Tribolium castaneum: one gene and its partner. The protein of the gene in region 1 purifies or fractionates together with the protein of each later gene. This does not show direct contact. Links are inferred from orthologs where the notes say so. Each region holds a gene or a part of one and is shown on either strand. Other genes may lie near its edges. The genes, in order: Sin3A and Kdm5.

Region 1 (4,388 bases):
ATCATCACTAATTACAAAACACCATTACAACAAAAATCATTCATTCTTTACCTAAACACCTCAACTCTTGAGCATCAATTTTTTGTGCTTTTGTGTTGTAAAAAAAGAGTGTTACTAGAACTAGCGTTATTTTCATCTTATTGTCAGAACAATTTTGCACTTTTTCGGAATAAACTGGCAAGAATAATATTTTCGCGGCTCGCTTTCTTCAAAATAAAACTGGTTGACGTTCATAATTTTCTAATGACACGTTTCTACCTTCTGATTGGCTAAATTGGGCTTATGCTGATAGTGATGGCTGATAGTATTTGCTCCAATGGTATTTCCCGTAATGAAAATTATTTGAACCGAAAATCTTTCACAGTTATAATCCCGTGGTTTTTATAATGTAAAATTAAATCGATAAAATACATAACCAAACGGTCCAATAATACAGTTAGTTTTTGTAAGAATTATCTAATTGGGAATAATAATTGGATTAATTTGGGTTGAATTCTAACTAATTGGATGTTTCTGTTTTTTACGGTAATTTTTTACAAGTTTATCAGAAGTGTATTGGAGCCGTTTTGACTCGGAGCACAAACGTGACCCCATTTTCTTCAATTATTTATTGTCTGTCATAGAATAGAAGCACTGATTGAAGTGGGCAACCCAAAATACAATAAACCAAGTGAATTTATTTTTTTTTCAACTCTTATCTTTCTCAAAAAGCTCAAAAGCTCTTAAATATTAGCATATGGTATTTGTTTCAAGTTTCAGATTGCTACATAATTTTTTAAATGGAATTTATGACCTGTTTTAAATTTCCAATGTTCTCCATGCATCACTGTGTGTGTGTGTGTGTGTGTTTTTTTTTGATGTTTTGAATCCAAAAATGTGATTTTCAACTATTTTTATACACTCACTTCAGTTATTATTATTTTTTTAATTTTTCATTGTGGTTCTTATTGCCGAAGAGAGTGACTAAATTAATAATTAGTAATTAAAATGTGTCTTCTTGAGGTGTGTGTTATGCAGTAATGTTCACTGGATGTATATTCAACATAAAGTGGATTTATGAATTAATTGCATAGACAAGTTTTTTACTTGTTTTCAGATTTTTATTTAATTTTATATTTTTTATTAGCCTCTGCAGCCACGTAATCATTGGCACGAATACTTTTAGAAATTGTTTAGTTGATTAATTTCTTGTAGGTATAATTATTTTTAATAGTAATAAAAATGTTTAGGTGTAGTTTATTAATAATAATTAATAGACACAAAAAGAGTTTGAATCTTGATGTCCGGCTTAATAAGATTAATAACAGTCAGAGGTCAGTTTAAAACTTTTACATCTGCTACACGCTCAACTAATCCGAAAATGGGCACTACATTGTTCTTTGGCGGGTATTTTTAAAAATCGATAACAGCGCCACTGTTCTCTTCACATTGAACTATCAGAGCAAGCATCAAACAAACCTTTTACGGATCAGACAATTGATTCGAGGGGCGGTCGCTAGTATCCGAAACTGAAAAAATCCACAATATGACTAAAGTGTAATTTTTCTGGAATTGGGAGCTCATCCTGTGGCACGTCGTAATGTTTGTGTGTAGGTTTTGTGCATTTTGGTGATCAAAAACTTGAAAAATTTGAAAGTGGGCAAAGCGACCAACCACCCGAAATTGATGGACTCGTCCAAACAAGCTCGGAGATTTGAAGCAGCCAGTCAGTCGACAATCGGTCATCGTTTCGGGTGGTTCGGAACAGAATGTGTCAGAATTTTCTTTTGATGAATTCTAGTGTTTTCCAATTATTTCCCAGTGAAATCAGCGCGGATCGGTTGCAATTGTACGGTGCATCCCCGGCACCAGTCCGCACGGAAGCGCTTTCCGCGAAAGAGGCTTTTGTAAGGTGAGTGACATATTTTTAACTTTTCACATTGACACAAGTGTTGTGTAATTGCAATTCCCAATTCGGCGCCGCTTTTCCAGCATTTCCCATGGTTTTTCCGCGATTTCGGCGTCGGCGTTCCAAAATTAGCCTCCGTCGCGGGGGCCGGCACTCTCCCTCCGTGGAAATTTCGTCGGCCTGGCAACGCTTTTCCGCCGAAAATCTGCCGACCTTTCGGTAATTACGAAATTTCGATGCAACATTTTGTATTTGTTTACTGACAAAGAGTCGCGTCCGATTTTCGGCTTTATGCACTTTCGTGTTTGGGTCGCTTCGGTCGCAGCGCCTCGCACGTCCGGTTCCCTGCCCTTCCACTCGCCTATCGATTCCTTCATTGGCCAATCGCGAGCCTAGCTTGCTAGATCGCGGGAGCGAAGTCGACACGCAACGTTGCCACTGCCACAAATTACTCATGCACAAAGGTGTGGCAACGTTGCCACAACACAAATGCCGAAAAATGGCCACCAGAAACCGACACGTGACGAGATTTTTATGCGGGCTTTCTAAAACTTTGACGCGCGCCTTTTCAAGGTCATCCGTGAAAGTTGATTTACTGTTTGCATAAATGGTTTAGGGTATGGACTATTTATTTGGTTATCTCACGAGTGCCAAAATGATAAGAATTGTTACCCTGAGTTTTGTTTTGTTTTTTTTTCCGGGGAGAAATACCGACGCCATTATTGTCCGGAATGACGCGATAAGTAACTGCGTAGCAGTTCGTATAAACGCTACCGGTTTTGTTTATGCCAGAAATAAATAAGTGGGCGTGTCGTTTTGCGGATCAGCTGAATTGAAAATGTTCAACATGGGATCGAGAAATGTTCCATGAACGTTGTTGCCGATATTGTTGCAAATTTTCCTCGAATCTTATATTAAAACTTTAAAAATATCAGTGGTTTTGACTATGATGGACGAAATGTTGTTGGATTTTGTTTACGTAACATGTTATTTTGAGGTTATGTCGAAATAAAGTCATCATTTTGCTCTCCTAGCTTGTAAAAAACAGTATGGTCAAATTACATTTTTAAAAGCTTTTTTACATGTTTATTTCCACAAATTATTTTTTTGTCAAATACTAGTTTAGATTTTTGTTTTTACGATTTTTAGTAATTCTTGAATAACATTTTCGTGCTGGAATGAACATGTTTATATAAAATTTCAGAGGTAAGACGAGGGAAATAATTTGATAATTATTCAATCTGTAGGACGTGTTTCATAAGAGTAGTCTGTGCGAATTTTATTAAAACTGTAATTATGTGTCACATTGTGCTCTACTTTAATATTATTCATTTATCTACCAAATAAATAGGTAGTAAAATTATTTAAATTAGAGTTTGTCTCTGTTTTTAATTTAGGTATTATTATGTATGTTTTAAATTATAACGTTATAATAATTACTAACGGTGTATATTTATTTATTTGTAAGAAAAAGGTCAGAGATAATTACAAAAACTGATCTGACAGTAATAACATGCAGAAATAATGTTTGTACAGCGGTGGATAGAGGATAAAAATGGCAAATTGTTAAAAATTAATTTACATAATCACAATTATAGGTATTGGAAAATGAAAATTGGTTTTACATGTAATAAAAAATGTAATTTCTATTGGAAACCAATTTATAATGGAATGTTAAATAAAATGCTTACCGGTTATTATCATGGGTTATATATTTTTTGTCTAAAAAACATTGTATTTTTTCACGGAAATACAATATTCATAATATCTTCTGAAATTATTAATTAAACAAAAGGTAGGTAATTGTTAGGAATTCGATTAATGTAATAAAATAGCAGCATATCATGACACGAACACGTTTTTCTTAATCTTATCACAAAAGTGTAATAATATCAACCAGATGTCTCTCAACTCGAAAAGTGAAAAGTTTAATTGCCGTGATTTGTAATTATAAACTAATCAAATGGAAGTCTTCACACGTGTGTTAAAAAATGAAACTTGGTTAAATCACATTTAAAAAAAAACACAAATTTCGAAGAGACGTAAACCGTCACACTTGTTCAAACGAGTTTTAACCCAGCTCTTCAGTCTTTTCATAGAACAAAAATTAACGCCCATTATCAGCGTAATTGATTACGTTATGCGCATTAGCCCCTATCGAGCAATAATAACAGACGTCCCATTATTAAATGATGGCGACGTGTAAACATCTTTCGTATTATTTCACGAAAAACTTTAACATAATATGTAATAAAGGTTTTAAGAAAATACACATGATTTGACTACAGATTTTTTCATCGTCCGTGAGTGCGGTATTTCATTATCTTTCAAAATTCGTGTTTTGGTCGGTAATTCAGACATTTTTTTTTAATTTCGATAAAATTTCGTTAGTTATTGTATTTAAAATGAGTAACATTAAACAAAAATTATTTTCATCCACTTATTAATAGTTTTTTGTGTAAATTTTCAGCCGCCTCGATGTAATTTGAAATGAAACGGC
Region 2 (4,620 bases), on another chromosome or scaffold:
GCAAAATTTGCGTCTTTCGATTTGTGTACGTGTTTACAAATAAAATGTTGTCTTAACCTTAACATTTTTAGCTGAATTAATATTTATACTATTGTATTTTGAAAACTACAAAATTATTTTCTAAATAAGGCATTTATTCCTATTGTCGGAACAATATATTTTTTTTTTATATTCAAAATCTTTCCGATTAAAACTAAAACTGGGTTCCGATTGGAATTGTTGTTAATGGATACGGTAATTTAATTTAAAAATTCCCTCTCCGTTAATATGAATAATAAACTTTTTGTCGATTTATTCCCGAACAATTTTTTGCGGCCTGAGATAAGGCTAATAGTTACATTTGCCTCAGTTTCAAGTAATCATCGGTCAAAACTCGTCGGGCCGTGCGTTTAATTGTGATTGCAAGATTCCAAAAGGTAGGAAACCAAAATCGTTTTAAGGTTTCGGCAAATTATTCTTTATATTTCAATACATCAGCGTTGTTTTTTTAAGGAATTGGAAATTTAAGCTGTGTCTCAAAATATGTAAAATGTGCGTTTTTCGTTGTCGCTTCTATGTTTACAAATAAAATTGCGTATTATTCTCGTAACATGAAGATTAATTAATTTTTTTCAATTTTAATTCAATATTTGTACAAATGGAAAAATGTTAATTACAAATTAAATATTTTAAATAGAATTTAATTGCACAATTCATGTATTAATATGTACCACCTATGTGAAATGAAAGTTATGTGCTAAACTGCGAGTTTAAAATGAAAATGGAAAAAAATCCGCGAACAAAAGTGCATTTATGAGTTTTCACTAATGATTCACTGCAATCGCTGAGTGGAAAAAAGTTTTATAAACATTAAACCCTCTACTCTCAAATTATATAAAACAAAATAAGAATTATTTGTTGATATATTGGTAACGAAAGAACAATAAAGAACTTGAGATTTTGACATAGAATGGTTAGTGTGAAATAATATTTTTTTCATTAGCCTACAAGTTGTAATTTTGCGACTGTTCTTTTGTGGTGCAGTAATTCTTAAGAAAATAATTTTTCTAATTCGTCAATGAAAGAAAACAATTGAAGTCAATTAAGTATGCGAAAACATGTAACAACTGTAATGTAATTTTTGTTTTGTTTCCTCGAAAAAAATTAATTCTTATGCAATATCAGAAAGAATTAACTTGAATTACAATATCTCAAATAAATAAACACTGTGGGTGTGCCTTGATACCGCCTCGTATCAGCTGCCATTTGCGTCTTCGAAGATAAGAAAACGTTGAACAAGTGACAAGAGGTGCGACCTTATCGCAGATTCTACCCGCGAGATGCAAACAGATACTTACCTCTTCGTGTCTGCTAATAATAAAAATAATAATAATAAATGAATATTGCGCTTGGTCATTAACCGCCAATAACTTTTTCCTAATAAAAAAATTAAAATTATTACGTCGGCATCAAATCGTTTAGATCGGCGAGCGTGTTTCTCAGGTGGTGGTTTGATCGCCATTCGCCCCACAATCCCGTGCGGTTTATAGTCTTTATCAGCCTTCTCGCTTTCCTCATTTAAGGGTGATGTCATTTTCTAGAGAATTACAGTAGAAAAAAAAACAAATCCAGAGTTTTACTTACAAAATTCAAAGTTTTGCCTTGTTTGAAAAGATCAAACGGGTAAAGCAACCTCTCATAGTGCGTTTTTAGAATGGTCCCTATGCTCTTACCAGATGGGTACCCCATAGAGACCGAAATTTTCGACCACTTTCTGTCTTTGGTTACTTGGTCAAAACCACCTAATAAGCAAAAGTCCAACAAAAAATTACCCAGCAATTTGTAATTACCTTGACTTTGAACAATGCTGTGCAACGTGTACAGGTCAATACAGCGTTTTTCTACCATTGGGATTTTCAGTGTGGAACCTTGCAGTTCCCAGAATTTGGCGATTTGGTCGAGGAAGTTTAATTTGACGCGAGTTTTAGCCTAAGGTAACAGAATTAAAGTCGAACTTTGCTAAATCGGGGTAATACCTCTAATTCGTTAAGTCTCTGAATTCGTGGCGTAAATCTAAGTTTGTCAACGTCAACGGCAAAGGGCGGTTGCCAATTCTAGAAAACATATTCGTATTAAACCTCTATCAAACATGGTGGCTTTGCAGCCATAGAACCTCATGTTTCACTTGATTGCTAATGGAATTCTAAATAAAAATAGCCGAGGTTCCTGAGAGTGGTTCAAAGTCTATTCGGGTGCGAATTGATTAACAAAGTCGAAATAATTTCGATGGTCTCTTTTGTGACTTACTGGAGGCGGTTTGATCTTGCAAATGCCCGATCCCTCAGCATACTTCCTGATCTTGTTGATGTACTCGAGCGGATCGTTGAATTCCTCCTCGGTTGGGTGGAAAACGGGAGCCTCCGGTGGAGGCTCGAACTCGAAACACTCTTCTTTGTAGCCACAGCCCGAGTCTTGCTTCGGGCTGGTGTTTTTCGCGTGGTTTTTAGTAGGACTGGTGGGTTTATCCACTTTTGTAGTCATTTTGGGTAATTTTACATAATTAAGTCCTGGAAGAAAAACACGATGGACTTTTCGCACCGAGACACGATGGAAGTCACGGCCTAATCATCAGAGCTCGGGAAAAGTTACTTTCCAGAAGATTAGCGAGGTGCGATACCTGGCCGTCACAATAATCACGTTTTGTTATTGAAAAGGGGGCGATTTCACCCGATTCGCGAACCCCACACTTCCCGAACCCCGTTGGGACACTTTTTACACCAACTTGCCCGAATTTCGAGTATTTTTTTTCATTCTGAACCAACACAACAACATTACATGTAATAATATCCCCACCAGCCGTCATCGATTGCTTGAGGATCTTGTGAATAGCAACATAACAAAGATGGTCTACACAGAAATTTATAAATACACACGAAGATTCGAAATTCGGCCTCCGATTACACAAAACACCCCATTTCCTACTTACACCACGCACTTTGCTCCTAGTTCAGCCTCAAACACCTCCGTCCAACATTTTGCACCATAAATACCAACTTTTAGGTTAACTAGAAAGGTACGTGACGCATAGCTAACCAGCTAAGGCAGCTATTCCATAGAATATAGAACAGCAATCGACATGACCAACAATTCGCTGGCTTACTGTGCAGCAATTATTTCTGGGGCCTGTATTATTGGTTGCATAGCACTTAGGCTGATGATTGCCGTTGACCTTTATGAATTGTCCATTCTCGTTAAAAGTTTAATCAGATTTGTGAAATGGAGCACTGCTTTATTATTACGTAACAACAGGAGTTTAAACCCGATATTTTAGATTTATTGCTGCTTTTGCAAAATAATAGAAATGAACAGTGGCGGAGGTTTGACTATTGCGAAAGGGGCGGGGTTAGATTTAATTAGGTCATTGTCTGCCAAAACAAATTTTCGTTCAAACCTTGAAATTTATCATTTGTAACAACTCTATGTGTGCATTTTTTGTTTTATAAATAATAATATAAAGCAATTGTTTAGATTTTAATGATTTAGAAACAATTCCTAGATAACCACTATTTAATACGGCATCATGGATTGTGTTTGAAAAAAGTTAATTTAAATCTAATTCCTCTTCTACACTACACACAATTTTAAATCACCCTCTGCTCTGCAGTACTACAATTTTCTAAGTAATTTAATAATTCTCCCTGAAATTTATAAAAAGACTTACCAGCAGAAATTATGAACTTGAGCACTAGAACTCAAAAGTCCACTATTGGCGGCATGTTAACACCTCTCTTCCGTTATTAATCAAAATATTTGTGTCTGTATGCGATAGGAGAAATACTTGACTTATGAATTCACCATAATTGTGCGATTTAATAAAAAATTGATTAAGACATATTTTTGAAATTATTAATAGAATTTTAAACTGATTTACATTACATTTGATTTTTTATGTACCTAATTAATTTTTTTGGTTAATTTTCAAAAAATATTTTTTCTCAAATTTTAAATGAAACACTCGAGTTTAAAATCAAAATTTTTAGATTTATTACTTACTTTTCAAAAAAAAAATTTAATGAACAGTGGCGGAGGTTTGGCTGTTTGTTTGGCGTTAGGTCTTTAGGTCATTACCTATTAACACAATTTTTGGTATAAAAAAAATAAAAAAAGTAATGCAATTTCATGTAAATTATAAGCACCACCTGTGAACCGGTAGCGAAACCAAAACCGTTGTGCGGGAAATTTTTAAATTTTAAAGTAGACACGCCTCATTCTCTAGAAATTCTGTGCATTTGACTTTTTATGTAATTAATTTTTGGACTAATGAAGAAGTATTTGGTAACAATTTGTAATTAAACACAAGGATGATATTTTTATTTATTTAATCAATTTTGTTACATACTTTATAATAACAGAGTATGTGATGTAACAAGCAATCAAATTGATCAAATTCATTAGTTTTCCTTGTTTTCTTCGTCATTTTTCTCCTCCAATTTCGGCTCTTCTTTCTCCTGTTGATCCTCCTTTGGTTTTTCCTGCACTTCCTCTTGTTGTTCCTCCTGCTGTTTCTCCTGTTGCTCCTCCTGCTGTTTCTCCTGTTGCTCCTCCTGCTGTTTCTCCTGTTGCTCCTCCTGCTGTTTCTCC

What was found.
Region 2: the proteins of Sin3A (region 1) and Kdm5 purify together in Drosophila melanogaster (affinity purification with western blotting; 3 studies listed by BioGRID, with this or other methods). This does not show direct contact. The link is inferred for Tribolium castaneum from reciprocal best matches to the Drosophila melanogaster genes Sin3A and Kdm5.

What each region holds. Positions count from the first base shown.
Region 1 is NC_087396.1:24,661,369-24,665,756, reverse strand, and holds the start of Sin3A (paired amphipathic helix protein Sin3b), read left to right. Parts: upstream 1-1,304; 5' UTR 1,305-1,891; intron 1,892-1,971; 5' UTR 1,972-2,107; intron 2,108-4,358; 5' UTR 4,359-4,378; coding exon 4,379-4,388. Other genes in the region: sel (protein seele), read right to left, coding at 52-136.
Region 2 is NC_087403.1:6,553,756-6,558,375, reverse strand, and holds the start of Kdm5 (lysine-specific demethylase 5), read right to left. Parts: upstream 3,112-4,620; 5' UTR 2,966-3,111; intron 2,547-2,965; 5' UTR 2,521-2,546; coding exon 2,287-2,520; intron 2,094-2,286; coding exon 2,016-2,093; intron 1,969-2,015; coding exon 1,830-1,968; intron 1,782-1,829; coding exon 1,624-1,781; intron 1,577-1,623; coding exon 1,442-1,576; intron 1-1,441. Other genes in the region: UPF0746 protein DDB_G0281095, read right to left, coding at 4,431-4,620. UniProt on the Drosophila melanogaster protein: Histone demethylase that specifically demethylates 'Lys-4' of histone H3, thereby playing a central role in histone code. Does not demethylate histone H3 'Lys-9', H3 'Lys-27', H3 'Lys-36', H3 'Lys-79' or H4 'Lys-20'.